Diceros bicornis minor: one gene and its partners. The protein of the gene in region 3 interacts with the protein of the main gene of each other region in a biochemical or structural test. Links are inferred from orthologs where the notes say so. Each region holds a gene or a part of one and is shown on either strand. Other genes may lie near its edges.

Region 1 (10,408 bases), on a different chromosome or scaffold from region 3:
GACCCCACAGGTTAAGGGCGCAGTCCCACAAGACTGCCCTCCGCTTCAGATGCCAGTCACAAGTCCTAGGTTGTCACCTGCACTTCTGACCAACTGGCTATAAATCAGGGGTTCCCACAACCCCCTTCTCAGTTTTGATAATTTGCTCTAGCAGCTCACAAAACTCAGGGACACACTTAGGTTACCAGTTGATTATGAAGGATATGATACAGGATGCAGATGAACAGCTAGGCGAAGAGATGCAGAGGGTGAGGTCCAGAAGGGTCCCGAGTGCAGCAGCTTCTGTCCCCGTGGAGTTGGGTGTGCCACCCTCCCGGCAGGCAGATGTGTTCACCAACTCCGAAGCTTCCCCAAACCTGTAGTTTAGGGATTTTTATGGAGGCTTCATCGTGTAGGGATGATCAATCAGAACTCAATCTCCAGCCCCTCTCCCCGAGGATGGGGGGTGGGGCTGAAAGTTCCAAACCTCTGCTCATGGCTTGGTCTTTCTGGTGACCAGCCCTCATGCTGAAGCCATCCAGGAGCCCACCCGGAGACACCTCATTAGAGCAAAAGACGCTCCTGTCACCCAGGAAATTCCAAGGCACTTAGAAGCCCTATGTCAGGAACTGGGGTCAAAGACCAAATATTAGAACACAAGATGCTCTTGGCACCCTAGCATCTAGGAAATTACAAGGGTTTTAGGAGCTCTGGGTCAGGAACTGGGGTCAGAGACCAAATATACATTTCTTATTATGTCACACTCCCCTTCTAATTTAAACTTTTAATTTAGACAAGTTCCAAACCAACAGAAAAGGCGCAAGAACAGCACGATGAACACCCACGTGCCCTTCATCTGGATTCCCAGTTGTTAATATTTGCCCAATTTGCTTAATTGCTCTTGATATATATTTACATTTTTAAACTGTAAACTCATTCGAGAGTACATTGCAGATGTAAAGACAGTTCATCCCAAATACTTCAGCTCATCTGCCTAAGCAAGGACTAATCGTGGATTACGGCTGTGCAGAAGAGCATGGACCGTCTCCCCGGCCACAATCCCTGATCAGACAGAAACCCAGATCTTTGATGATTTCATGGAGCCACTGAATTAAGTTGTCCTGGAAACCTCTTAGTGCCAGACTTCTTGTTATACGAAAGTTTTCCTTAATTTTAAAGCAATTTGTTGATTTTTCTGTTACTTGCAGCCAAAAACTCTCCTGATAACACAGGCCCCAGGCCCATGATAGAAAACATTAAAATGCATCCATATCCCACCTTAAATATATATATAGGGGTTTGTGGGGGTTTTTGCTACACTTTTTCTTTTCTTTTCTTTTTGTGAGGAGATCAGCCCTGTGCTAACATCTGCCAATCCTCTTTTTTTTTTTTTTTTTTGCTGAGGAAGACTGGCCCTGGGCTAACATCCATGCCCATCCTCCTCCACTTTATATGGGATGCCGCCACAGCATAGCTTGCCAAGCAGTGCGTTGGTGCACGCCCAGGATCCAAACCAGCAAACCCCGGGCCACCGCAGCAGAGCGCGCTCACTTAACCGCTTGCACCACCGGGCCAGCCCCGTTACACATTTTTCAGTTTTGTGTGTGTGTGCGCGGAAGATTAGCTCTGAGCTAACATCAGTTGCCAATCTTCCTCTTTTTGATGAGGAAGACTGGCCCTGGGCTAACATCCATGCCCATCTTCCTCTACTTTATATGTGGGATGCCTGCCACAGCATGGCTTGACAAGCGGTGCGTAGGTCCACGCCAGGGATCCGAATCCGCGAACTCCAGGCCGCCGAAGCAGATGCTGCGCCACCAGGCCAGCCCCTCAAGGTACTTTTATACTTTTGTTTTAGACGTTATTTGGCTGTGGGGATCTAATTTAGGGGTGACCAACCTCTAGGAATACGTGGGACACTTTCAAAGTAAGTAAATTCAACCTACAAAATTGTTTTCGAATGTAATACAGTTTTTATGACTACCAAGTTTTAAGTTGGAGCACAGTAAACATTTATGAATTTCAGCTCTGCAATTTTAGTATTTTGGAGCCAATACATTTTTTTCCTCAGGTCTCAAATATTTTCTAAGCTCTTAAAAAGCACTTAGTTTCCTGTGAGTCTATAATTATTTCAAAAGAAAATATTAAAAAAAAAAAAACAGAACGGACTCATGCCTGAGCCCTGGAGGGCTAATGAATGACAGAGTCTGGACCCCGCCCAGACCTCATATGAGAGGAAGAGCGGGTCCCCAAAGGCAAGCAGCGGCCTGTATTCAGAAGGGGGACAGACACCAGGTGGGAGGGCGAGAGTGACAGGTCCACTGTGTTTGAGGAGGAGGCTGTCTGGGCAGGGGGGACAGCACCAGCAAAGGCAGAGGTGAGAACGGATGAGCAGGTAAGTGGGGGCGGGCTCTCGCACAAACCAGCTGGAAAAGTGCCTGAAGTTGGGGGCACCCCCCACTAGTCCTTCCTACCCTTCATGGAGCAGGATCCAGAAAAGATCGTTCTTGAGGTCCAGGTACCCCAGGACCACAGTGTGCTTTCCCTGGCTTAGGAGATGAAAGGGCTTCAGCTCTAGCTCCCTGTGTGACCTTGGCCAAGTGGCCACTCTTGCTGCTAGTTTCTGTGTCATTAAATGAAGGAGCAGGTCAGGTGCAGTATCTCTGCAGTCCCTCCCTGCTCTGACTTCTAGGACTCTGGAGCTGGCTCTGATCACCCCCACCTTCCCAGGCCAGGCCAGCCAGGTCGGCTGGGGGCTGCGGATGGTATCCTCGTGGGCCTGGCAGCCCTCCCCACCACTGCCAGCTGGAGGAGACGCAGCCTTCACAGAGAAAGAGCAGGAGCGGGCAGGGCAGGAGGACGAAGGCTAGGAAGGGCCTGGATCCCCAGTCCAAACGAGCTGAGCTCGTTTCTCACGGCAGCAGCCAAGGTCCAGCCCACAGGACCAGCCTGTAGAAGAGAGGAATTCCACAGAGCTCGCCGCCTCTGCTGCAGGGCGGTGAGAGAGGAGGAGAGTCCCCAGGGTGGGGGGCCTTGGCCTTGGCGGGTACAGGAGAGAGAACTAATGCTGAGTCCCGCACATCACTCTTGTAATCTTCCAACCAGCTGGTGAGTGGGTAACATTCCCAATTCCCCGGCCTGGAAACGGTTCAGAGAAGTCCAGGACCTTGGCCACAGTCACAGCCAGGCAACCCCCAAATTAGGACTCGCCTCTCTTCTCCCAATTCTAACGTCAGCTTCGTTTCTGCACAGCTTCCCTGTGCAGACGTTCAACCCAGTTGGCAGACACGAAGCAGCGGGGAGGTGAGGAGGAAATGAGATAATGTATGAAAGCACGGCGCCGGGCACAGGGCCTGGCAGATAAGTGGGCGCCACCACTAGGAGGCCCTGAGGACGGGGTGGGAGTGGGGTCACAGTGCACCTTGTCCCTGCCTCCCCCAGGAAAACCACAGTCCTTGTTATAGGGGACCCAGAATCTGGAGAGACTCTCTGCCAGCCTAGGCAGGAGGGGACTGTTGGGGATGAGGTGAGGGTGGGAGAGCCTGGGAAAACAGACAAGAGGGAGGCTAAAACCTTCTAAGACTGTGGAAAAAACAATCATCTATTGAGTACAACAGACCTGAACTCCACCCTGTACTAACCTTGTGCAGGAGAGCAGGGTTTCACCTCCCCAATTTACAGATGGGGAGACTGAGGCAAGCAGGGAGAGGCAACTTGCCAGGATGCCCTGGGGAGGGCATGGCAGGGCCAGGACCAGAATCCAAGTCTCCAGACTCCCAAAGGGGCCTTTCCAGGGGGCCTATTCACAATGCCATGCCCCCTCTCTACCAGCCCTCAGCTGGCCGGACCCTGGAGGGGAAGAAAGCAGCCCCTCATCCAATAGCAAACACTTCCTGGTGCTGGGCCAGTCTTCCAGGTTGGGGGAAGAATGGAGGAGCAGCTCTTGGGGCCCCGGGGGAGCCCCACTTCTGGGCTGGAACAGCCAGCCAGGCCCACCTGATGGCAGTTGGGTGAGGACTGTGCCTGAAGCACCTCTGGTCCCCGGGCAGGACTCCTGCTGAAATGCCGCCATTTCTCCATCAGATGGAGAGGGTGTCTGGGCCCTTGGAGGGGGAACACGGAGGAAAGGCAGCAGAGCTGGCCCCACCTGCCCCTGCCTATGCTGAGGTTTGGGGGGGGCCCTGGAGGAAAAGTGAAGCAGCTACAGTTGGTTTCTGAGGCAGCCCGCTGGGAAGGGAGGAGGGGGGAGGGGCTTGCAGGAGGTGAGGCCCAGCCTCCTCCCCAGGCCTTCCCGTGGCCCCCCGTGCACTCCCCACTCCTCCTGTGCCAGGGTGGGCTTCAGTCCTCGGGAGGAGGGTGGGCTGGGGAGGCAGCGGAGGGCAAGGCTGGTTTGCTGGCCTGGCCTCCAGATGTGAGTCACTCCTGGTCTGCATCTTCCTCCCTCTTCGGTGCTGGCAGTTTCAGAAGGGGGATGGCAATGACGAGAAGGAGGTCCCATTGACAACTCCCCTAGCAAGCCCCCTACCTCGCCAAGTGCTCCCCATGCCCCTCTCCCCAGTGGTTCCTGGGTGCGAGGTGAGTACCCCTCTGACCCACCTTCAACTCTGTTGCTACACTGATCTTCCCTGCAGCCCAAATCTGGCCTCAATACTCACCCTCCCTATAACCTTCTGTGGTTCCCCAGTACCCTCAGATAAAACAATGTCCAAGCCCCTCAATGAGGCCCTTCATGATCCAGGTACTCCTGGCCTCCCAGCCTCATGCCCCATCTTTCCCCAGCACACCCTGAACTCCAGCCATGCCCCGATGCTCACAGTCCCTAGACCCGTGCTTTCTCATTTCTGAGCCTTTGCCCATGCTGGAACGCCAGTCTCTCCTTCTGCACTCATCCTTCAAGACTCGCCTTCTTCACATTCTGGACAGTCTCCACCCCACCGTGGTGCTTGCTCATGACTTCCCTTAGAGCCAGCATCACACCAGTTCTTGGTTAGTTTCATGGCCAGATTCTGCCCCAGCAATGGGCTACCTGAGCAGGGACTGGGAGGGGTTCATCTTGGAATCCTCTGAGGCCAGCTCAGGGCCAGGACACACGGTAGGTGCCCAGTAAAATATCTGCTAACCGGTTAGGGAAAGGAAAGGCCTGGCCTTGGAGGCAGAGATGTGAGGAGAGTGGGCAGGGGGTGCCTAGAGCAGGGACCCCCAACCCCTCCTGGCCTGGCCCACCCTGGGTCCCCTCCCAGGCCTGACCCTCTCAGACAGGTCAGAGGCTGTCAGGCAGGGGCTCTTGGAGGATCCCCAACCAGCCCCTCAGAAGTGCTGAAGCCCGAGGCCTGAGTCCCAAGTCTGGCGGCCGCCTCAGGCCTGGCACGGGCCCAGCACAGCGGCAGACACGAGCCCTGCTTCCGGGGGAGGCCAGGGTGGGGCCTTGTGGTTAATGGGTCCTGGGCCTCTGCAGAGGTCTGCAGAGCGGGCCACGCCCTGGTCCCTGCCAGGGGCAGCCTCAGGAGCCCCAGCTCGAATTCCCTGAAGGACCCTGCACCCCCTCAGCCATCTTCTCTGGGTACCCCCTGAGCTCAGCCTGCTGGCCCCAGGGCCCCTTCCCGCCAACTCCTGGGCCTAGCTCATCCTCAAACTATTTTCCATTGGCTTCCCCCAATCCCCACCACAGCACAATTTATGGGGGGGTAGGGAGGGATGGAGGAGAACGGGAGGTGGAGCCTGGACCCTGGAGGAGTGACTAAGAAGGAGTGGGGGGGTGTCCACTCTGATTGGTCACCTCTGCTCCAGAACCGGCTTCAGAATTCCATTGACTCCGCCTCCAGTGGCCCCCATCCCTTTCCTGACTTACAATTGGCTGAGCTTCCAAGGGGCGGGGCTCACCAGGGTCTGGACCAGTTAAAAGGGCGAGAGCCGCCCAGGGCCCATCTCTCGGGTGGAGTCTTCAGACAGCTGGTGCCGCAGTCCCCAGGAACATCCTCGAGTCCTCAGTCATGGCTTGCGTGAGTGTGGGGACCTCGCCCCAAGGCCCAGGGATGGTGGAGGCAGACAGCCAGGGGAGAGTGGGGGCAGATCAGGATCTGGGTTCTAGTCCCCACGGTGTGGTCCTGAGCAAGTACCTTTTCTTTTCTGGGCCCAGTGGCCGCATCTGTAAAATGGGGGTGGGCGCCATGGTCCCCCAAGGCCTTCTCTGGCTTAAGAATTTTCTGATTCCTCCAGGGTCTGACAGCACAGTTTTTTCTGCCAAGGTCTGACATTCTGCAGCTCTCTGAGAAATGGGAGTGGGAAGGGTGTGGCCAACTGGGGGGGGGGCACTTTGATGACTCCCAGGCCACTGTTCCTTCCCCCTCCTCCTCCACTCCAAAGAGCCTCCTGTCCCCTCCCCCCTGCAGCTGTCCCCAGTTACCAGCCAGGGCAGAGTCACCCTCTGCTCTAGAGAGCTCTGAAAAGTCGCCAGGATCTGAGAGGCTGTCTGGGAGGGGGCCTGCCTGGGTTAGTGGGTGGAGGGTGGTTCTGTCCAGGCCGGTCAGGCGAAGGCTGGGGGAATTCCCCACCACCCACTCCCACAAGCTGGGAGGTCAGGAGCTAAGGGAGAGAGAAGGAGGCAAGAATCTTCCAGGCCCCAAGGGAAAGAGTTCAAATTTCTGGCAGAAGGAACCACTCGCACTGATTAAGCTCAGGGCTCAATCTTGTTAACCCTGAGCCAGCCAGGCTGCAGACTCCAGCTCTTGGCGGCTCTCCCCTTCTGCAGAGGGTGCAGAGCTCCTTAGGGGTCTCCTCCCCAGCCCCTGCACCTCTCTGCACAGAGGAGCCGGCTCCAAGGGGCTGGTTGGGGATCCCCCAGCTGCAGGCCTCTTCTTCTCCAGCAGAGGAGCAGACCCCTTCGTTTACCTTGCTTTGCCACCAACTCGCAGTGTGACTCACCCTGAATCTGGTTTCTCTCCATCTGTTAAGTGAGGCGATGGGGCATAGCACCCTAGGCCACTCTGAATCCAAAATCCCCAAGCTGAACCGCACAAAGTTCTAGATCTTGGCTTCTAGAACCTCAGTTGTGTTACACACAGGAAACCGACCCGGTTAGGAATAGGCACTTGCCCAGGGCCACACAGAGAAAGAGAGGCTAGAACTGCCACCCGGGTTCTCCAGGCTTCCAGCTGGCCTGGTCAGAGGATCCAGGGTGGGGACGACCTCCGCCCCACCCCACCCCACCCCGGACAGGGTCTTCTGACCGGCTGGGCGTGGTCTTGTCTGCGCAGGGTCTGGTCGCCAGCAACCTGAATCTCAAACCCGGGGAGTGCATCAGAGTGCGGGGCGAGGTGACCCCCGACGCCAAGAGGTGAGGGGGCGAAGGCAGGGCGGCGGGGGATCGGAGCCCGAGGGCCCTGCCCCGCATCTGGTAGGTGCGTGGCCCGCCAGGCCTCGCTCCTCCCTAGGGGGAAGGGGTTAAAGCCGGCGGCCGCTGAGGCTGCTTTGTCCAGATGAGTCACTTCCTCCGCGGGGTCTGGACCATTCCTCCGCGGGCACCATTGTCGCCCCCTTCCCTCCAGCTGGAGCCTCTTAAACTAAACCAGCTGCGGCCTCACCTACCTTGGCTGCCCCCCCCCCCCCCCGGCCCCCGGCCCCCGCTGTGGGCGGGACCTGAGGCTGCGGGGGACAGGAAGAGGGGATGGGAGGGTGTCACTCCCTGCTCTCCTCTGAGGTCCCTCTCTCCTGCGTTCCTCACTCACTCAACCTTTCATTCCTTCGTCCTTCCTTCACCCATCATTAATTCAGCAGCAACCATGTGACCTTGGATCAGTCACCCGACCACACCGATCCTGGGTGTTAATCAGTTAGTGGGGCAAGAGGTGGTTGTGTAGAGGAAGTGAGATGCTGGGTTTCTCAATAACTGTGCTGATGACCCCGATAACGCGATAAAGAGCTGCACACCCCCTGTGCGCTGTTCATATGATTCTTAGGAAGCCATCGGAGCTGGGCGTGGCTCTTATCTCCACCCGGCACATGTATTATTAAGTATTATTTGTTCATTCGCTGCCTCACGGTTATTGAGCACCTACTGTGTGTCGTGCATCATGCCGGGCACCAGGGGTACAGAGATATACAGGACAGACAGGACACTTGCCCTCCCGGAGGTCACCATCTAGAGGGAGTCTCCGACCTTGACCCAAAGGGCTGGGACACAAACTAATGTTTGTGAGAGCCTTGGCTGTCAGCCCAGCAAGACTCTAAGAGGGCCGCCTTGTGCAGCCCCCATTGTGCAGAGGAAACTGAGACCCAGAGAGGAGCAGGGACTTGCTCAAGGTCACACAACAAGGAGGTGGCAGGGCCAGAACTAGAATCCAGGTTTCCTCCTCCCCGCTAAGGGAGTCCTCCTGGCTAGGAGTATTAGTGGGGTACCGAGCGGTGCCGACCGCGGGGGCTGCAGCGGGCTGAGGAGGCCTCAATCCCACCTGTTGCCCCTAGCTTTGCGCTGAACCTGGGCAAAGACAACGACAACCTGTGCCTGCACTTCAACCCTCGCTTCAACATGCACGGGGACACCAACACCATCGTGTGTAACAGCAGGGATGGCGGGGCCTGGGGCGCCGAGCAGCGGGAGTCGGCCTTCCCCTTCCAGCCCGGGAGTGTCGTGGAGGTGGGCTGGGGCTGGGGGCCAGGGGCAGGGTGCTGCGGGGACTGGGGCGGGGCTGGGTTTAGTGGCCAGAGACCTAGGTCCCACCCTGCCCTCCCCACCTTTCCCCCCTCTCCCCTCCTGTCTCCCCCCTCACCTGCTGTGTGATCCCACTGAGTGTTGTCCCCTCTCCCAGCCTCAGCAGCTCACCCGTGAAGTGGGGCTGTGGTCAGGGCCGCGTGAGGAAAGGGCTCGGGGAGGGCCCGTGACCTGCCGCCGTCGCCCCTGCTGTGGGGTCCACGCTGCTCACTGCCCTTCTCCACCGCCAGGTGTGCATCTCCTTCGACCAGGCGGACCTGACCATCAAGCTGCCAGACGGATACTCCTTCAAGTTCCCCAACCGCCTCAACCTGGAGGCCATCAACTACCTGTCAGCCAACGGCGACTTCAAGATCAAGTGCGTGGCCTTTGAGTGAAGCCAGCCGGCCCATGGCCCCCAATAAAGGCAGCTGCCTCTTCTCCCGCTGAACCAGCCTCCTGTGTGTGTGGGGGGGGTGAAGAGGGGGGTTCCGCCAGCACCCCCAGGCTCTGCCCCTTCCTGCACTTCATTCGCTTCCTCAATGCACTAAGTGCCAGTGACATCTCCTCCCCTGGGTCCCCTGGGCCAAGCAGAGGGCTCAGGACACGGTAGAGGGCTCGGTGACTACCAGATAAGACCCAGTCCCTGCCCTCAGACAGCTCCCAGCCCAGCGGGCCCCAGCACACAGTAGGTGTTCAAAAGATGTTGAATAAAGGAAACCAGGGGCCAAGAGGCCAGGACAAGATGGATCCATGCCCTGGTGTCCGGGGCAGCACAGAGCGGGGTGGAGGGAAGGATGACTGGGGTCCCTCTCATCTGTTTTCATGAGCTAGAAAGAGAGCTGGTTCAGACAGTGTGGGGCTACCAGCTGTGTGGCCTTGGGCACATTAACCTCTCTGAGCCTCGATTTAGTCATCTATACAAGGCGATACCAGCACGTAGCCTATCGTAGGGTTGTTGTGAGGACTCAATGAGCCGTGAGGAGGAGGACAGATTTAGTGGCTGGGAAGCGCTTAGCGGGTAGTGGTTTCCCGTCCCAGCTGCACCACCTCTTGAGATGTTATTACCCCAATTTGAAGGGGAGGGAACAGGCTCTGGGTAATGACATGACTCCCTGGTCTGTGCAGGCCCCGCTGAGCCTTGTGGGGCTCCCCAGGCACATACCCCAGTGCTGGAGTGTAAGGGCGGCTAGGGTGCTAGTCTAGAAACTGCTGGCCCTGTGGCCCTGGGCAGGACCCTCAACCCAACACTGGGCAGATGGGCTTGGGCGATAGCCCTGGCACCAACCGCTGGCCCGTCTCTGTATAGGAGGAACTGGGGTGTGGGGTGTAGGGGGGGATATGCCAGCCCCTGCAGAGAACCAAGAACTAGAGGCAGGCGGCCGGCTTGAAGCCCAGCCTCCAGGCTCCCAGAGGCCTCCTGCTGCCCACAGCCTCCTCCCTGGAGAGCAAAGGAGTGTGGGAGACTCCCTTGGCTGAGCCTCTCCTCTCCTGGTTTCCAGAGAGGATGTGTCTTCCAAGACCAGCCAGGCTCTGGTACCCAGGAGCGCAATGCTCAACCCAGCCCACCACCCTCACATCACGAGGGACGGGACCTGAGCTGATGCCTGGGCCACCCTGCAGACTGACCACTTCTCTGCACCTTCTCCTTCCTGCTCCCTGCTGCAGGGCCCCTACCTCCCCGGGAAACAGTCCCTGGAGACTGAGCCAATATTCTGGACAGCTTAGAATCAGAACCTCAGT
Region 2 (9,835 bases), on a different chromosome or scaffold from region 3:
GTAGGTCCGCGCCCAGGATCCCAACCAGCGAACCCCGGCCCCGAAGCTGAACGCGCGAACTTAACGCCATGGGGCCAGCCCCAGTGGATATATTTTAAGAACCCGTCTTAGACACCTTTAACCATTTCACTCACCTATTACCCAGTTAAATGATACCAAATAAATATCACCTTTCTCGCAAGCATCGCTATTTGTCGTAACAACCTTTCTTAGAAATGTAGCTTGGTCTTATTCCTGCCTTTACCAGAGGTGCTTTTGTATTTAATTATTCCTTTCTTCATCAGGATTCTCTCCAATCTTTGAGAAAACAGACAGATTTTCTAGGAAGTAATTCATTATTTCGTTCATTCGTTCATGAAACAAACAGTTACTGAGAACCTAGTAGGCACTCAGCACTGGGCGGGTGCTGAGGATGCGGTGGAGAGCAGACAGCAAAACAATGCAGGGCTCTGAGTCTGAGCGTTGTGAACCTACATCTCAATTCAAAAGGGGAAGGCACGCGAGGCCCAGAACAGGGGAGCCCCTCAGCCGGCATCTCAGAAACTTCACAGGTCACTGGGCGCTTCTTGGGGAGGCTTCGGTGCCGAGAGAGGGTTTAGGTCAAGTAAATGCAGAAGGGATGCGAGTGCCTGCGATTCGAGCAGAAAATCGGTAAGCACGGTTAAAGCGAGCAAGCAAAGCTCCCTCAAGAAGCGCGCACGGAAACCTTCGCGGACTCGCCTGTCTCCGTCCGAGGAGTCAGCAGGGGAACCTGGAGAGAGGGCGGAGAACGCGACACACCCCCGGCGTCCCCCCTCCCCGCCAGGAGCGCCTGCCCCGCGCGCGGAGCCGCGGCGCCCGGCTGTCCGGCGGGGAGGGGCCGGGGTGCGGGGGCGGCCCCGCCCCGGGAGAGGCGGGCCGGGCCGGGCCGGGCGGGGTATTAGAGGCGCGGAGCCGCCGCCCCGTCCGGGACCGCAGCACCTCGCAGGAGCCGCCCGGAGCGAGCGAGCCAGCGAGTGCCAGGGCGGGGTGAGGGGCGCGGGGCGCCGGGCCGGGGCCGGGCACGGGGTCGGGGCTGGGGCCGGGCACGGGCGGCTCCCCCCCTGCAGGGCGAGGCGCCCGGGCGCGGCTCGGAGCGCGGCCTTCTCTGGGGGGCTCTGCGGCGCCTGAGGAGGGGGCTTGGTCTCTTGGGGTCAGGGGGGCGGGCGCGCGCGGAGAGCCGGGGGCAGGGCGGTGGGCGCCTTCAGGGCAGGGGTCCAGAGCCCTTGAGCCCCCGAGAGAGGAGTCTGAGACCCGGGGAAAGTTAGCGACGCCTTACGGAACCTCACGCACGTCGTGGGGCGGGCGGGGGTCTGCGGCCGCGGGCACAGGGCCCCTCTGCGCCACCGGGAGCCCCGGCCGCGCCCCGCCTCCGCCGCTCGGCCGCCGCCGGTGGGCGGTGGGTGGGCGCGCTCGTCCGACCCAGCGGCCGCTACAGCTGGGTGTTAGGAGCCAGGTCCCCTTCCCCAGGACACGGGGGTTCCGCCAAGGCCTCTACAGGGCGCTCCTTTGACCCGTGACCTGGCTGCCCCGCCCCTTGGTCTTGCCGTGGGGCGCCGACGAGTTCTCCTCCCAGGCCCGGCCGGCAGCGTCAGGGCCTGCAGCCGCTCGCTGGATGCCGATCCCACGAGAATGGTGCTGCCCCAAGGCCTCGGTGGGCATGTGTCCGGCTTGGCAAAGACCGCAGACCCTAAGCTTTTGCAAATCAGTGACTCGTCTCTGCCCAGACTGGCTAATTTGGGTTTAAGGATCCCAGATCTGAGCGGAGGATGTCTAGAGTGTGAGGGAATGTTGATCCGAGTGTGCAGAGCTCTAGGGGGTTTGCGGGGGGGGCGGGGGGGTGCTGTTAAACCGTGCTCCAGGATTTATTCTGAATTATCAGTTGCTCAAATAAAACACTACAATGCACCCACTCTGAGGAGCAGGAGCTCAATGCCAGGGAGTCGGGAACACAGGGGTGGAGGCTGTGACTTTGGCTTTCAGGCCGGCCCCTTCAAGTTAGCGATTCCTAGTCCAGACACTGTATAGGAATATTTGTAAGGTGACTCCTGGGAGTTGGGTTGCTGGACAATGAGGACAGTTGGACCTCCGTGACCCAGTCTGTTTCTAGAATTCTGGGAAAGAATGGAAGACAGTCTCAGTTAATTCTGAAGAAAATGATAGCAATAAAAATTGACCACTTGGGCACAGAGCATGAGAGAATTTTCACCAACTTCCAAAATTCTGACTCATTTGCCTCAAGTTTATAAAGTTTACCTTTTGTATGGGGAAATTGTGTTTCCATAAAAGTTAAAACTTAATACTAAAAATTAATTTTTTCACAACAGTCTCCTCTTCAGACATTGACTTTGAATCCCTAGAGTCCAGTCTTGATCCCTTGGATGGTTGTGCCTCATCCTTGATCTTTGGGAGATGGGAGCTGCTTCCCAAATTCATAACATTTGGGGGTTGTACTCAGAATCAGCACTTACTCCAAATTCTGGGGAAAAGTTTGATGATGGTCCTTGAATGTTTTGAGCTTAGAAGTATTAGGAAGATGCCTCACCAGGTTACATAAGTAGCAGAAGAGGGGGAGTACTGCCTGACAGACTGACCCCAAAGCTAGTTATTTGAATGGGATAGGCAAGTCTTGCTCTGTTGAGGGGTCCTTATTGATATCTCACTGTGCTACAAATATTCATAGGTTCGTTATGAAGACTTTTCACTTATGGCTACTGAGGTCAGAAGGCCAATGTTGGTCTCACCTATAATTTACGTACCTATTTCCCTAGAACCCTCGTCAGCCAGACTCTAAATACTGACTGCAGCGGAGACCTATATTCATATAGTATAACTTGAGAACCTCATGTTGACCTTAATACCAACTGGCTTGTCACCTTAATGTACCTGAGACTCAGGGTGACTGATCTGAAACATGGCCTCTTTCCTGCAGTGGTTTGGGACGGGGCCTCCTGCTGAGGGTCACTTGGGAACGTGCTATTTGGTGCCAGAACTGGTTCTTCTCAGGAGATGCTGAGGAGTGTGCCTGCCAGGGCAGTGCTTGCTGTCTACTTCCAATTTGCTGCTAAGTATCACGTGTTCTCTCTTGACTGATGTTCAGCTTTTCCCTGGGGAAAAAATCAGTAACTGAGAGGCACAAAGTAGCTTTACCTTCCTTGATGCTGAGGAATTATAATGAGAAAGAAATCCTAGTAAAGGACCAGTTTCCTTTATTCCAACTCAGCATCACTGAATTTGGCTTTGGGAAGTGGACTTTCCTCAAGCCCCGCTCCGTGTTTCAGCAGGGCCAGGGAGCAGACGGCGTCTCCTGTGTCCTTTGGAGAGCAGTGTGGGCAGTGCCTTGGGGTTCTCCGGAAATACCTTCAGGATCTGCTTACCCTACAGCTCGGATAAAGGTCAGGGCCCTTTGTGAGCAGAAATTTCACAAGTGCTCCTGGGAAGCTGGGGAACTGGATTAATTGCTAGGTGGGCCCTAGAATAACATAGTACACTGGACAGCCACTCTTTATCAAGGGGAAAAGCTACAATTAACAGCCGATTAAAATGGTCTACATTCTGCCTCGTGTTTAAATTCCATATTCCAAAGTGATACTGGAACTACTTTCTTCCTGTAGGTTTTTCCAAATGTGAAGACCCAGGTAGTATTTTATTTCCTCTATTTTTCTTTGTCTTTGATGTAATGTTTCTTTTCTGGCTCTTCAAAAGTCTCTGATTCTGGAAATGCCAGGACAGAGTTCACATATCTATAGTATCCGTAGAGTGTGGAAATTTTTTACATTTGATTGTCTCTCTCTGCATAAGCTACTCATCTAAAAGAAAGAAAGAAAGAAAGAAATTTTCCAGGCAAGTAAGGCAGTTATTTATCCAAATAGATTTTTTTTAAGTTCTAAAGTTGCTAACCTTGATTTCAAAAGAGCATTGGTTATAACCCTTTTCAAAAAAGAGATCTGATGGTCGGGAGTTGACCTAATCAAAACAGTGCATACCCAATTTTTGGAAAAATACATTTTATTGGTTTAAATGTGGTTGTAATTAGCACAGTGACTGTGCAAAATGGCACCCTTGTCTTCAATATCACTGCACACTGTGTGTCATCCAGCTAGTTTTCTGACAAAAACATGATCTCTTTTTTAATTTGTTTACAATTGCATATATGTAGTTCTGAATGAATAAGCCAGGCGATTAATTTCTAAATGAAGTAATTAACACTTTCAAAGAATTTTACTTTAAAATTTCAAAGTGTGAGGTTTTCTATTGGTGTAAAATGAGCCTGGAGTAGGAGTCAGGATGCTTGGGCCCTGGTCCTTGGCCCACCAATGACACAACGACTTAGGGCCACCACGTTAGCTCTCTGTGTCTCGGTTTTCTCCTCTCTAGAGTGGGCATATTAACTCTCCCCTGTCAGTCTGATGAAATCATATCAGAATCAAAACAGGTATGTCAAAGTGCTCTGTAAACTGAAAAGCACCACACAAATGCAGGGTGTTCATATTCTAAGGGGCTTGTCTAATGTGTCACAACACAGTCCAAAGTGTCATCCGAGGTGTTGTGTGAAACACAGTGGAAATAAAGTGAAATCTGCTTTGTTTCTCAAATTGTTTTGCTCGGGTTGGAAAATAAACTGAATAAACTCGAGCAGAGACTTTGAAAAGAATAAATGTTGAATTTTGGAAATGCTGTCTTTACGTGAGTCTGGGTGTAATCAGCTTTTAAACACATCTTAGTCTGCTCTGAGTCATGTTGCTGGGACCCTTGATGAGGCTGTGGGGCAGAGTTAGCTAGGGTTGACAATCGGCACTCCTTGTGCATGTGCCCACCTGTGTGCGCATTCACGTGGGGACGCACGGCAGCTGAGACCAGGGTTCTCACCAGGCGGTGTTTTGCCCTCTCCCCCTCCTCCAGGGATATTTGGCAAGGTCTTAAAACATTTTTGATTGTCGCAATTGAGGCAGGGCTGTCGGGCTACAGGCACCTTCTGTGTTGAAATCAGGGATGCTGCTCAACATCCTGTAACGCACAGGACAGCGCCCACAACAAAGTGTCCGGCCTGAAACGTCAGTGGTGCTGAGGCTGGGAAGCAGCCCTACACAGTGGGGTGTTTGTGTTTAAAACAAGTCAGAACACTCATCAAGTTCTTGCTGGGTCTTGGGTATGCTGCCCAGGGGTGGAAGAAGAGTTTGTCTAGTCAAAGGAACCCAGCTCTCTGCCCCGTGTGAAGGTCGAGATTGTTTCCTACTGGTGTCCACAATGAGTGAGGCTTTTACTGTCTTGATTGAAGAAATGTCTTTCCTCTTCCTTTTCTGTAACTGCTCTGCTCTCAAGTTCCTCTGCGGCCGCAGCACATTCTCTGGGCGTGTCAGCCTTTGGGGGGAGGAAGCACAAGCAGAGGAGCACCGGACTCTTGCTTGAAAAGGTCAAATACTATAGGAAATACAGTGAATATGAGCCCGGAAGAGTCCCTGTGACTTCCCAGTCAAGTTGCCAGCAGTTTCCCACCTGGGAAGATGGGCACAGTGATAACCTAACTGCTTCCAAATATGTTTGAGAATGCCCAAGTTAAAAAAGAGATGTGCAAAAAGAAATTAGTGGAAAGTAATATTTAACTGTGATCTAAGTCACAGCAGAGTAGGATAAAATATCTGGTGTGTGTAAATGAAGCACACATTAAGTCCTAGAAGGAGCTCTACCTGTTTGAGTTTCTACCAAAAAATCTAATGTTTTACATTTTTAGGACCTATCCGGTAGTTGCCATTTATTGGATCCCTTGGGAAAATGTCATTTCTTAACATAATTGAGTAAATTTCACAAGTGAGTAACTCAAGGAAAAAGAGATTCTGATTGTTTAAGGTCCAGGGAATTTTGGCCATAGCACAGGTGATCATGAGCTGAGAAAACTCACCCAGCCTCGGGAGTCTGAAGCAGCCCCCTCCCCTCACTGCTGGAGTGTCTCCCATGGGAGCAGGTGTGAAACATCGTGTGTGCGGTTAGGGACTTGGCACAGGGGGAGCAGCAGGAGAAAGCAAGAGTGATGTCTCAAGGCCACCCCATGAGGCAGCTTTGGGCAAGGCCAACCCTTTTTGGTAGCATCCTACCCCAAAATATTTTCTCCACATTGCCTGACTTTTTGTTTTTAACCTTATTTGTTATACTGCCATAGAGTTCATTTGCAGTAACAAGTATCTTCAAAAAAAAAAAAACAAAAAACAAGCACCTTATGCCCACTTTTCTTCTTCATTTCTCCACATCCCAATCTCAGCTTTCCTCTAAATCTTAGCTCAAACAGCACTTCCCTTTTAGAAGTAATTGATCCAGTTGTCACTTTCCACGACATGCGGTCTGACTCACAGCATTGATCACTTGTGGTCCCTGGGGCCTGTGGGCCCTTGGACCGTGTGGATCTTGACCTGTCCCTCCTCACACGCAGATAGGAGCCTGCACAGTGCCTGGCCCAGAGCAGGCGTAAATGTGTGCAAATGAAGGAATAAATAATCGGCAGCAATTACTTCTTGCGGGGGTGGGTGGCATGTCTTTCAAATCTCAGCGGGAATAGACCAACTCTGCTTTCCTCCTAAAACCCAGACATGGACCAGTTTGTGGGGCTGGGAGGGGAGGTGGCGATATCAACACGCTGAACCCTTTGTAAGAGGTGGTGGAGCGGCCGTCCCGGCGGCGCAAGCAGTTAAGTGCATGCGCTCTGCTGCAGCGGCCGGCAGTTCGCCGGTTCGGATCCCGGGCGCGCACCGACGCACTGCTCGTTGAGCCATGCTGTGGCAGCGTCCCATATAAAGTGGAGGAAGATGGGCACAGATGTTAGCCCAGGGCCAGTCTTCCTCAGCAAAAAAAGAGGGGGATTGGCAGATGTTAGCTCAGGGCTGATCTCCTCACACACACGAAAAATAAATAAAAATAAGAAAAAAATAAGACGTGGTGGAAAAGAGCACAGGAAGGCAGGTGAAGGAGGACCAAAGATAAATGCAAGACATTTGTTATTTGTTACTGAGGGATGGGGCAGAATGTTTTCTTCCTTATTCTCCTCCTTCCTGCGTTGTATGGCCTGTTACTCCCAGGATTTGGAACACAGGCTCGTGTGGTTAGAGTTTAAAGTTATGAGCTAAATGGGGCTCGGTGATCCAGCTGGAGTGCCTGCTGCCCTTTGACAAGACACTCTTGTGGTTCCACACTATTGATATAGGCGTATTTGGGGAATGGACTGGCTTGGGTTAGAAGAATGCCTGTAGGTTGACTAGAACTGCACAATGAACTATTTGTGATGTTAAATTTATATGGAAACCGGTGAAATCTTTTAGGATCATGTGATAACATCTTTTTTTTTTCTCCTCTCAGGAAAATGGCAGACGGTTTTTCGGTAAGCGTTTGATGTCTGTTTTCCTGCCCTAATATACATTCCACATAGGTTGAGGTTTGTTTTTTTTTACCACGAGACTTTCCTGCTAGCTCTCCCACCATGTGGCTTCCGCTGGCCTCACGTTTCCAGTCAGGGCTTGTTAGCTGGAGTTTTGTTTTCTAGCCACAGATTCAGGAAGGAAGCCAGGCCGAGAGAGGCCTGGGACTCACTAACAGTGGTAACCCCTTCACCTGGGACAGAAGCAGGTGGAGGCCACCGGAAGGAGCCGAGAAATAAACTGAGCAACAGGAAATGTGGTGCAGGCTGAGCGTCCTGCTGTCTGTGATTGTACATAACATGTGCTAGAAAGTATGTGCTTTTACAGAGGACAGCTCGCTCCCTACTTTAGCAAATTATGAAAATGCAACCCTCCATGATCTGAGTTGATGAGAGCTGAGAATGAAGTGATAAAGCATGTGTAATCCCAAAGTCTAATTTTAATCTTAGGAACTCAAAACTATTTATCAGTGGAAAAAGTTTTTTGATGTGAATTTCATATCTTCACCATATCCCTCTACTTCTTAGATCACATATTTCTCTTTTCCTAAAAATTCTGTTTTTGTGAATGTTTTTCATTCTGTAATTGTTTATGTCTCTCTTTTCAGCTTAATGATGCCTTACCTGGGTCTGGAAACCCAAACCCTCAAGGATGGCCTGGTCCATGGGGAAACCAGCCTGCTGGGGCAGGGGGCTACCCAGGGGCCTCCTATCCTGGGGCCTACCCTGGACAGGCACCTCCTGGCCCCTACCCTGGCTCAACAACACCTGCTTATCCTGGACCAAATGCATCAGGAGCCTACCCTGGGCAACCAGGTGGGCCTGGGGCCTACCCACCTCCTGGACCACCAGGTGGGCCTGGGGCCTACCCGCCTCCTGGACCACCACATGCTCCTGGAGCCTACCCTGCTGCCGGCCCCTATGGCGTTCCTGCCGGACCACTGGTAGGATGGAGTTAGTCATTCCATATACTTGATTGAGAGCAGGACAAAGCTAATGAAGAATGCAGCAATTGCCTGGACTGGTGGTGCCAGCACTTTGCAGTGCTCTGGCTGGGGGCTGGCTCTGGCACTGACCTGCAGAGGGCTTCAGGGAGACTGAAGCTTTAAACTCATGGCTTAAAGCCACTTTTTCAAGGACCAGCCATGGTGTATGTTGGTCCAATAGAAAAAATAGTTGTTTGTACTGAGTTTAGTATGTGTACTGTTAGTATAAAGAGAAGCAAATGCATCTTTTGAAGGCATCTGTAAAGCAGCTTTAGTATAAATCAAGTTAAAATCATAGTAATGGGGGAAGTTTTGGCCATTATTATTAATAAACACTGAGTACATAACACATGCCAGCAGTGTGCTTCTACACGGATGAGCTCAGGTATCCTATAACCACCCCCTAAGATGGTATTATTATCCCCATCTTCCACGGTGGGGATGGAGCAATCCAGAGTTCTATAACTTGCCCAGGGTCATGGAGGGAACATGTGGGGGAACCAAGGCGATCTAGTTTTAAAAAACGTTCTAAAGATTATTTTGCGATCTAAGGATTGAATTTTCATTTATATTAAAACACACTTTAGTAAATGAATTCTAAGTGTAAAACCTAACTCTGGGAGGCGCCAGACACGTCTCAGACAGATCCTTCCCTTTCAGATGTCTAGCCTAGTTGGGAGGTAGATGCAGACACGAGGAAAGAGTTCCATAACAGTGTGGGTCAGACCCTTTCAGGACTATGGAGAAGACGGCACGGGTAGCATCAGCGCAAAGAAAGCGTTGGGGGTGTGGGTGGCGTTGAGCAGGGCCTAGAGCACAGGTTAGTCAGGTGCAGACAGAGTGGGACACGGAGGCTGTGGAAAGGAAGATGCAGATGTGGGAGAGCTTGCAGAGGAAGAACCCCAGGATCTAGTGGGGAAGTCGTAGGAGTCAGAGACGACTCTGGCTTTTCAATGCTGGACAACTAGAGCACCAGCCAAGGGTCAGTCCAAACTGGGAACTCAGGAAGGAGACCTGAAGGGGGCGAGACGGGGGAGACAATTCCAGTTCCCGCCTGTTGGATTTGCGGCACCGGGAGCAAATCACGGCAGGAGGAAGTACAGGACTAGCACAGATCAGGGCTAGAGAGAAAAGACTTGGGTGATAGTTGAACCCAGGGGGAAATTATAAAGGGAAAAGAGAAGAGGCCAAAGAGAGCTCTGGGAGTATTCACAGCACCTGGAACACAGAGGGTCAATAAATATTTGCAGAATGAACTAGGGAAGGTACTAACTGGAAAGTGTCCGTTCCGCGAATATCAAATATCTGCCACATTCAAAGCACTCTGCTGGTGTCACGTGAGTAGACAGTATGAGAACTCAGAAGCCCTAGAACATGACACAATGCCTGCCGTCTGGGAGCAGAACAACTACCATGAAGTATGTTATGT
Region 3 (10,434 bases):
CTCTAAGAATCGTAGCCTTCCTTCTCACAGTCTGTCTGCTTCATAGACATCGAATTAGTATCCCACAATTTGTGCATCTTCCCTGTCACTGAATATCTAGATTATTTCCCTTTCTTCAGAATCGCAGCCACTGTGTCAGTGACAATCTTCCTGCACATGGACTTTTCTTTTGGGGGAAATTGTTCCAAGAAGATAAATTCCCAGGAGTGGAGCTCCTGGGCTGAAGGGAACAAACACAGCTGAGCTCCTGAATGAGGTGCCCAAGAGCCCTGTCACCAAAAATCACATCACAGCATGAGCGAGCCAGGCCCGGGAGCTTCACCAGCACAGGGCTTCAGGGTTAGCTCCAGTGCTTGCCAGGGCTAACTGATAGGAATGCCATTTGCATGTCGTAGGTGACGGGCCCTTCCTGGGACTGGCTGCCTGGCAGCATGTCTCAGCTTTGGCAGACCCGGGTACCGGCAGGCCTACCTGGCCCAAAGGCGGCTCTGCCCAGAGCCTCAGTGGCGTTCTCAAAGCCCAGGGCCCGGCAGACAACGTTGGCGTCTGTCAGGTCCCACAGGTTGTCACACACTGTCCCCCACTGGCCTCTGTAGAAGATCTCCACGCGGCCCTCATTGGCGGTGTCCCCATTGGCCAGCCGCATGTCACCATCTTTCACACCTGCAGGGCTCCCGAGGGAAAGCAAAGGTCAGCGGGAGGAAGGTTGGGTGGCTGGGTCTCCATCCAGGCTGGCAGCACTGACCGCCCCACACTTCTGCAGGACTGTGTGCTTTTGTGGGGGCAGTAAAGTTCCCCCCAGCTGGGGTGACCACTGGACAATTAGCTTTAAAGTCCCCCATCCAACCTCGAGGGGGTTGCCCATGGGGGAGGAGTGGAAGATGTGCATAGCCCCCCCAACCAACACATAGAAGGTAAACTTGCCTTGTCTTGTCTTCGAGGTCTCAGCCCTTTGCTCCGTTGATAGAAAAGGGGCAGAAGGGATGCTTGGTGCACAGCACTGAGAGTAGGGGTGCAGGACCCCAGGGAAGAGTGGGGAGGGGGAAGGGGCCCATGCTGATCCCACCTGAGGGTGTCTGGGCCTGGGGGGGCAGCCTGTGCACCACAGCAAGGATTGCTGGGAGGTGTCTGGGGGAATGCCGGGGGGCAGCAGGCCCAGGGACCCCCAGAAACACAGGCACAGAGAGAAAGTGGGGTCCTGGCCCCATATTCGTTCTTCTAGGACTCAGCTCACTGACATCCCCAGCCAGCCCCTCCCGGTGCTGACAGGGTAAGGCAAGAGCTGGGTGCCATGTCAAAGGGCAATTCCCAGTTAGGGGTGCAGCAGGCCACTTGTGGGGTCACTAGGATGAGGAAGGGGCTCCTGGGCCTTGAGGTGTAAAGAGCAGGAGGACAGATGTCTAGGAGTCTGGAAGGCTGACTGTGTCCAAAGGGCACTGACCTCATGACCCCCAGCATTTGGCTTGTCCAATGTGCCCCTCCTACTGCGTCCCTCTGGTTCCCACTAGGTGGAATGGAGAAGCACTTGGTATCCACCTCCAAGACACAATCCACCATGACTCGGGACAACTAGGGTCAAGCAGGAGAGAAGACCCAGGCTGGTCCCGGTGACCCAGGCACTGGACAGCACATTGCCTAGACTTTCTGCAAGGAGAGGGTCAACCCCGTAGAGCTAGGGAGCAGGGGCTTCTCCAACTGTTGCTTCTGGCATTCCCCAGGGCTCGGCTCACCTTGAGTCCCTGTGACCAGCAGCCACATCCAGAGGAGCTGTGGGAGGGCCATGGCCTTGCCTGGGAGCCCCTCGTCCTGCAGCAAGAGGCGGCAGAGTGAGACAGTGGAGCTGGACAGCCCTCAGGACCAGGCCCAGTCTGTCCATCCATCCTTCAGACCCTACTTGTGGAGGACAGCTGGTGGGCGCGGTCCCTGCTCCCGCAGAGCCGTGAGTATGAGGAATGCCCGCTGCTCTGGGCACCCCAGTGGGAGTCCCTCACCTCATCTGAAGGGTGGTCCTCCAAGAACGAGTAAGACTTGCCCAGATGAAGGGGGCGAGCAGGGGGTGTCTCGAGCAGTGAGGACAGTGGAAACAGGAGCCCATCTCAGAAAACAAGGCCCTGGGTGTGGCTGTCAGTGGTGACGGTGAGGAGGATGGAGAGGGAGGAGATGGGAGTGTGCAGGGCCCAGATGAGGAGAGGCCTGGTGAGCCTTGCTAAGCCGTATCTTCAGGCAACGGACCCCTGGGGGAGTGCCCAAGGTCTGCAGCAGATAAAGAACATTCTGGAGTTCTGGACCATGTGAGCCCTGGAAGGGAGGGGAGTGAGAGCAGAGCAGGGGGACACATCAGGAGGAGGCCACAGTAACCCAGGCCAGGAGCGACAGAAGGACAGGCAGCAGTGAGAGATGTCAGGCTTGGTGGGGGGGGTTCAGTGGGGGTGGGGGGGAGAGAGGTCAGAGCTGAGTGCTGAGTCTCTGTGCAGCTGGTTGGGGGGGTGGGGGCTAGACTGGGGCTACCGGGACCAGGATGGGGAGGAAATGCTGAGTGGGCTCGGTGTGGACCTGGCGCTGCCACCTGTGAGGTCAGTGTCCCCAAGAAACAGAAGCTTGAAGAGGCTGGGGCCACCAAGGCCACACAGCCATCTGGTGTGGGGGAACCCAGGTCTCCCAGGTTTTGCCTGGAGTCCTCGCCTCTCTGTAACTCTTGCTGCTTGCTCTTCCTCTTCATTCCCACCCTGCCCCTCACCTGCCTCCCTCCCCCCGTATCCCGGACCTGGAAGAGCCAGTCATTGTTTCTCTGGCTCAGTAAGAATCCTGTGACCGTCCCCACCCCCCGAGGTCCAGCAAGTGGGGGATGAGGCCGCTGTTGTGAGAGTCCCTACAAGTCAGGGCTGGTCACCTTGAAGCAGCACCCTAGTTCTGCATTAACAAGACCCCTGGGCTCCTAGGCACACTGATCTGTTAACTGGCCTTGAATGGGCATCCCCTGTGCCAGGGCTGCTCACACGCACCAGCTCAGGGAACCCTTACCACGACCCCTGAGAAAGGCCTTGTTAACCCTACCTGACAAGTGAAGGAGCTGAAGCCCAGAGAGGTAACTGGCTCCGCATCACACAGCTGGTAAGCGCAGGTTGGGGCCTGCATTGCATTGAGCTCAGCAGATGGCTGGAGGGGCCAGGGTGACCACCATCCAGTGTGCCAGGGACTGTGCCGGTTTTAGCACTGGAAGTCCTGCGTCCTGGGACATGCTGTCAGTCCCAGGCAAACCAGGATGGTTGGTCAACCTCTACACTCCCTGGAGAGCCGCTGCCACCGGGTTTGTTTGTCCTGGGACAGGAACTCAGGGTCCTGGAAGATGGCCAATCAGATACCTGGTGCACGGCATGCAAATGTCGCTGCCCTTGGGATGGCAGGGGCCACCTGTTATTGCCTGACTCCCTCATATGGGAAGTTGGATGGGGCTGCCCTTGACCCATACGGTGCCTTTGTGCCAATTAGAAAAAGGGGCTCTTCCTTCGGGTGAAGGGAGGCCTGGGCCAGAATGCACAGACAGGTGAGAGGGCCGTGGGCTGAATTCCAAGACTTTTTGCCCCTTTGGCTGGTGTCCCTTTGCAGTGAACAACCTGCACAACTGTACACAGAGGCCCTACAGATCTGGGAGAAGCAATGATGGTCCCTGGGCTCAGGAGGAGCACCAGATCCCCAGCTGGGTGGTGCAAACAGGGAGACTTGGCCCCCACTAGATGATGCTGTGTAGAGAGAGCAAGAGGCCTGAGCTTACCTGCCAGAGGCAACTGCTCATGGTGGTCCTGGGCCTCCCACCTCCTGCTGCAGGAGCCCTCTGCAGACTGTCCTTCAACCCAGAAAACCCTCCCAGTGCAGAGCGTGGTCAGGCTGGTCCCTTCAGGAAATGCTTCAGAAAACTGATTCTAGTTTCGATTTTCAGAAACCACGTGACAGATTTCTCCTGGGGCTGGCTGCTGACAAGGCTCCCTGGCGCCCCCCTCCTTCCTCTCATCCCTGACTGTGGGTGTCGGGGATGGCAGCAGCCCAAGGCAGCCGTCCGGCTGACTCGATAACCAGAGCACGACAGCTGACAGCCACATTTGAATTTAAACCCTCTTCCAAGCTGGACCAGCGCCAGGGGCTGGCATCGGGGAGGGGAGGGGAGGGGTGGGGAAGCAGGGGACAGCAAGAAGAGCAGAGGGTGGGCACAGACAGGCCGGGTCTGCATCCAGTGACCGAGGGGTCTTAGTATATGCTCCGATCTGTTTCCTGGTCTCACACATTGCCACAGGGTGGACAGCGCTGGAGTGGCCACTCATTCCCAAGTCCACCCTACTCTAAGCACCTGACATGCCTGACCTCACAGAAAGGGCCACACCCCGCGAAGCTGCACAGTGTCGTCCCCCTTAATGGGGGAGGGAGACCCTGAGACATGAGACAACATCCCCAGAGTATGCCACCCACCCCAATAATGGTCATTCTCCCGGCGTCTCACCCCCAGTGGGGCAGGAGACAGAACCTCTGGAGTGGACATAAATTGTTCTACCCACCTCACCCCCATTCTCTGTCCTCCAGCAGAAAGCCAGCACCTCGATTTTTCCTTGGAGAAGCCCTCCTCTCTCACTCCCAGACCGTGTGGTTCTGAGGGCCCCAGGCTGCCCTGGGATCTGACCAGGGCCTGGCTGATCAGAGCCCTGTGGGCCCCTTGGCCACACAATGGTGTCAGGGACAGGCCGTGATCCCAGCCAGCCCAGCGAGAGTCGGCCTCACACTCATGGAGAGCGACCCCATGGGGGCATGTGGCCTGGAGCTACTGTGCCGTGTGCCCCAGCCTGTGCCCGAGGAAAGCCCAGCTGAGGCAGCAGGTGGGGCAGAGCTGCGAGATGGAGGAAACTAGGTTCCTGGGTCCAGCTGGCCTGAAGCCAAGGTCAAGCCTGGGGCTTCACAGTTAAATGAGGCAATCAACGCCCTCTGTTTCTGTCACTGGCATCCCAAGGTTCTGGACGAGGGTTATCCCTTTGTAATGTCCCCAGGTCTCTCTAACCCAGTGGCTGTCGACCTGGTCTGCATGTGAGAATCATCCAGAAGTTTTACAAACTCCCAGTGCCCAGACCCATTAAGTCACAACCTCTGGGTGGGGACAGACATTGGCATTTAAAAGCCTTCCAGGTGGCTCCAACGTGCAGCCAGGGCTGAGAACCACCGGGTGAGACACACTGGCAGCCTGCAGTCCAAGAGGGCGAGCGCCCAGGTCAAACATTCAATGAATATTTGCCCAAGAAGTGAGGTTTTGGGGGACTCCACAGTTCATCTAGTCCCCTCCAAAGAAACTAAAGATGCAGGGGGCGAGGCAGCTAGAAATAGAACTGGCAAAACAAGACACTGGAGTGAGTTTTAAAATCCCATCCAGATCAAGAGCCTCAGTTCTCGCTGACACAGGAACTCCAGCATTGTCACTTCTTATGGTCTCCGTTGATTTTATCTCAAATAAGTGGCCAGTCAAGGCCTGGAATGCAGAGGAAGTCCTTTGGCAGGTGGTGGTGGAAATGTTTAAAAACTCAAGTTGCTGAATCTTTAGCCAAGAGTCCTGGAAAGTCCTTCAGGTCCAGGCAAATAAAATGTAAGATGGAGGCCTCAGCACAGCATCACAGCACAGTATCTGCTCCCCAGGCTCTCAAGGCTGTTCCAGCCTTAGGTTCCCATAAAGGGAACGTGGAACGGGAGCTTGAAATGATCTGCTCCAGAGAGGAGGGGCTCAGTTCTGATAGAGAGACTGGGAAAGTCCCGGACACTGCAAACAATTGGGCCCAACTGTGACAGTGTGGACGATGCTGCTGTAATCTGGAAGCCACTGCCAAGACGTGGCAGGGAGAGTGCTGGGGGCTTTCAGAGACAGAACTCTTAGCTGGTTTACAAGATATTTTTTGTGCCTCTACTCAACCTCCCCTGCAGAATACAGGAACATTACCTATAATGCTAATATTGATGCAGCCAGGCACTATTCTAAACCTGTGACATGAACTGACCCATTTAATACTCCCAACCACTATGGGAAGTTGCTGCTCTTATTAACCCCTTTTATAGATGAGAAAACAGAGGCACAGAGAGGTGAAATCTGCCCAAAGTCACACAGCTGGAAGGGAGAGAGCTGGGATTCAAACCCACACACTTCTCTCTCTCTTTTTTTTAATTGGCTTGAAATATAATTTACACACAGTAAAATGCATCAATTTAATGAGTTTTGATAAATGTATACAGATGGTAACCATGACCATCATAATATACAGAACATTTTCATCATCCCCAAATGTTCTCTTCCGTCTCTTTGCAGTCAGTCCCCTCCACCAGCCCCGACCCTGGCAACCACCGATCTGCTTATTGCCATGCAGCTTTCCCTATTCTAGAATTTCATAAAAAGGGAAACATACTGTATGTAATCTTTTGTAAGCTTTTGAGATTCATTCCATCACTGTGAATATCAGTAATTGGTTCATTTTTTTGCTGAGTAGTAGTCCACTGTATGGAAAGACTATAATTTGTTTACGCATTTATGCATTGGCGGACATTTGGGTCGTTCCCAGTTTTTGATTATTATGAATAAAGCTGTTAGGAACATTTGGAGACAAGTCACACAAGTCTTTACGTGAACGTAAGTTTTTATTTTTTGTGTGTAAATACCTATAGATAGGATTACTGGGTCATATGGTAGATGTAGATTTAACTGTTTAAGAAAATGTCAACCTGTTTTCCAAAGTGGCTGAACCATTTTGCATTCCTACTAGCAATTTTATCACCCTTCCAGTGACTCTAAATCCTCACCAATGCTTGGGATTGCCAGCTTTTTAATTTTATCCATTCTAGTGGGTATATAGTGGAATCTCATTGTGGTTTTAATGACTACTGATGTTGAGCATCTTTTCATATGCTTATTTGTCATTCGTACATCCTCTTTGGTGAAGCGTCTATTTAAATCTTATGCACATTTTAAATTGGGTTGTTTATCTTATTACTGAGTTGTATAAGTTCTTTATATATCCCGATACAAGTCCTTTAGCAGATATATGATTTGCAAATTTTGTTTTGTTTTGTGTTCTGAAGAGCAAACGTTTTGAATTTGGTTAAAGATCAATTTATTATTCTTTTGGTGTCATATCTAAGAAATCTTTGCCTAACAAAGATTTTCTCCTATGTCGTCATCTTCTAGGAGTTTCGTCGTTTCAGCTCTTACATTTAGGTCTATGATCTATTCTGAGTTAACTTTGTGTATGATGGGAGATAAGGGTTTCAATCATTTATTTCCATACAGATTAGACTTGTCTCAACACCACTTATGGAGACAATCTGTTTCCCACTGAATAGCCCTGGTACCTTTGTCAAAAATCAACTGACCACATACATATGGGTCTGTTTCTGGACCCTCTTCTGTTTCATTGATTTATATGTCTATGTTTCTTATGCCAATATTACAGTTTTGATTACTTATAGCCTTATATTAACTCTTGGAGTCAGATAGTATAAGTCCTTCAACTTTGTTTTTCTTTCTCAAAATTGAGTCTTCCCATCTGTGAAGACAGTATATTGTTTCACTTGAGTCTCCTTTAATTTCTTTCATCAGTGTTTTGTAGTTTCAGCATACAGATCTTTCACGTTTTGTTAGATTTATATCTATTTCACGTTTTTTGGTGCTACTGTAAATGACACTGTATTTAAAAATTTCCATTTCCAATTGTTCACTGCAGCTATATAGAAATAAAATTAATCTCTATATGTGGACTGTGTATCCTGCAGCTTTGTTAAACTCAACTGTTAGTTCTAACAGTTATTTTTGAAGATTTCTGAGGCTTTTCTACCTAGTTGGTCTTGCCATTAGCAAACAAAGATAGTTTTACTCTTTCTTTTCCAATCTTTATGACTTTCCTCTTTCTTGCCTAATTGCACTCTCTGGGACCTCCAATAAGATGGTTGGTGAATAAAAGTGATGACAGCAATGCCAGTTTCCTGGGCTGTATAATTGTGCTATGGTAACATAAGGTGTTACCACTGGAGAAAGCTGTGTGAAGGGAACATAGCAACACTATACTTCTAGGTGGTTTAAAATAATTTCAAGATAAAAAGTTTAGTGGGGGAGAAAATACTGGTGAAAGCAGACATTCTTGACTTGTTCCCAGACTTAGGAGGAAAACATTCAGTCTTTCACAGTGAAGTAGGATGTTAGCTGTATGTTTTTCACAGATGCCCTTTATCAGGTTAAAGAAGTTCCTTTTATTCCTAGTTGGCTAAGAGTTTGTTTTGTTTTTGTTTCATTTTTTTTTAAATCATGAGTGGGTGTTGGATTTTGCCAAATGCTTTTTCTGTATCTTTTGATATGATCATATGGTTTCCTCTTTAGTCCGTTAATATGCTGAATTACATCGATTGATTTTAGAATATTAAACCAACCTTGCATTCTGGGCAGAAACCACACTTTGTCATGAAGTGTTTTCATTTTTCTATATTGCTGGATTCAACTTGCTAAATTTTTGCTAAGGATTTTTGCATCTATGTTCATGAGGGATACTGGTCTGTATTTTTTTTTTTCTTGTAAACATTTGTCTGGTTTTGGTATCAGGGTAGTGCTGCCCTCATAAAATGAGCTGGGAAGTGTTCCCAATTCCCCAAATCATGGAAGATTTTGTGTTGGTTTGTATTATTTTTTCCTTAAATGTTTGGTACAATTCACCAGTGAAGCCATCTGGGCCTGGAATTTTCTTTGTGTGAAGGCATTTTATTTTTGCTTTATTTAAATCTTTTAACAATTTTATTAAGGTATAAGTTACCTTAACATTTACCAATTTAAAGTGCATAAGAGGACAGAATTAACATTTGGAAAGAAACTGATCTCATTTTTTCCACTAAGTCCCGAGATGACTTTTGGGAGTTTCTTTTTGCTGACGAGTTGCACACTGGACACACAAGAGTGCCACACAGGCACGAGTCACTGCCTGCGTGAGTCCAGCCATCAGGACCTCTTAAAGAGAGGCTCAAGACCTGATTTTCAGTTCCTTGCCCCTCCACTTGCAGTTCCTCACCTCGTTCCCGCCTCGCCTAAGGCGCTCTGGCTTCTCCCCCTCCCCCTCCTGGAACTGCCCTCACGAGGATCGCCAAGAACACCGAGTCCTCCTTGTTTCTCGGTCCCTGGCTACTCTCCAGACCTTCTTACTGACGGCCCTGCAGTGTGTGATGGTTGACTCTCCTCCCTGGCTGCACTGCTCAGGTTCCCAGCAGGAAACAGATGGCTCCAAATGTGGATAATCTACAGAGGCTTGAAGAAAAGGGCTATTTACTAGGTGTGCATGAGCAGGGAATAAGGACACCACAGGGGGTAGTGTGGGATCTGCAGCTAGGACCACTCCCAGGCCAGAAGGGACAAAGGCAGGGAGTGGTTACTGGAGCCCAGGCTGGGAGAGAGTGGGTAGAGGGAGCTGCCCTGTAAGACAGTGCAGGACCAACCCTGCAGGAGGGAATCAGGGACTCCCAGCTCATCCCCTCCCTCCTGCCAGTCAGGGGTCAATCCCAGAGGGTTCAAGAGGTTCACGCAGGTCAGGCCCTGGGGACACAGAGCGGGCTGGGGATGGGACAAAAGATGTGGGCACTGGCTTTCATGACACCACACTCTCTTGGTTTCCTCCTTCTCCAGGTTAAGCCTCTCTTCTTTACTAGTCCCCTCCTTTCCCGTTGTTCCTGGGGTTTCATGTTAGGACTTCTTAGGACCCTGCATGTCCTTTGGCATGGTCTCATTTGCTCCTGCAGATTCATCAGACACACTAATGACACCCAGATCAGTCAGCCCTCTCACCCGAGCCCCACCTCATCACCAAATCTTCCAGATATCTCCACTTGGTGAGCCACAACAACAGAATGGGTGCATGCTAACTAGGCATCAGGCAAGACCCTTATGTGTGTGAACTCATTTACCATTCCCAACAGCTCTATTGTTATCTTCCTTTTGCAGATGAGGAAATTAAAGCATAGAGACGTTAGATAATCTATCCAAGGTCACACAGCTACAAAGTATCAGAGCCAGGACTGGACCTGGGAGGGTTCAGAGCCTATATTCCTAACCATTAAGACCAAAGGAGCATCTTCAGATGTCATCAAAAGTTGGACTGGGTGATTCGGTTTCCAGAAAGGCTCCCTGGTTGGCAAAGGTTCATGGGTCCCTGTCCCATGAATGCCCATGGCACATCAGACATCCTGTGCCAAGAACTCTTCTTGCCTGCTCTTTGCCAGTACTCCCTGCCCCCACCACGCACACAGACAGAGCGCACCCTTCACTGAGCTGGCGTGTGAATCATCGTCTCTCGTGTGCCCTGGAGCGGCGCCCTTGGAGAACAGCCAACATAGACCAGGAGACAAAAGAGTACTCACAGGCCCCTCTGGCACTTTATTGTTTACAAA

Evidence for each region.
Region 1: the proteins of LGALS3BP (region 3) and LGALS1 form a complex in vitro, tested with the Homo sapiens proteins (2 studies listed by BioGRID). The link is inferred for Diceros bicornis minor from reciprocal best matches to the Homo sapiens genes LGALS3BP and LGALS1.
Region 2: the proteins of LGALS3BP (region 3) and LGALS3 form a complex in vitro, tested with the Homo sapiens proteins (4 studies listed by BioGRID). The link is inferred for Diceros bicornis minor from reciprocal best matches to the Homo sapiens genes LGALS3BP and LGALS3.

Annotation. Positions count from the first base shown.
Region 1 is NC_080764.1:12,072,841-12,083,248, reverse strand, and holds LGALS1 (galectin-1), read left to right. Parts: upstream 1-5,872; 5' UTR 5,873-5,969; coding exon 5,970-5,978; intron 5,979-7,232; coding exon 7,233-7,312; intron 7,313-8,439; coding exon 8,440-8,611; intron 8,612-8,916; coding exon 8,917-9,063; 3' UTR 9,064-9,116; downstream 9,117-10,408. UniProt on the Homo sapiens protein: Lectin that binds beta-galactoside and a wide array of complex carbohydrates. Plays a role in regulating apoptosis, cell proliferation and cell differentiation. Inhibits CD45 protein phosphatase activity and therefore the dephosphorylation of Lyn kinase.
Region 2 is NC_080763.1:5,217,012-5,226,846, forward strand, and holds the start of LGALS3 (galectin-3), read left to right. Parts: upstream 1-5,416; 5' UTR 5,417-7,366; coding exon 7,367-7,384; intron 7,385-8,028; coding exon 8,029-8,364; intron 8,365-9,835. UniProt on the Homo sapiens protein: Galactose-specific lectin which binds IgE. May mediate with the alpha-3, beta-1 integrin the stimulation by CSPG4 of endothelial cells migration.
Region 3 is NC_080757.1:58,721,739-58,732,172, forward strand, and holds the start of LGALS3BP (galectin-3-binding protein), read right to left. Parts: upstream 3,897-10,434; 5' UTR 3,794-3,896; coding exon 3,773-3,793; intron 1,807-3,772; coding exon 1,731-1,806; intron 664-1,730; coding exon 472-663; intron 1-471.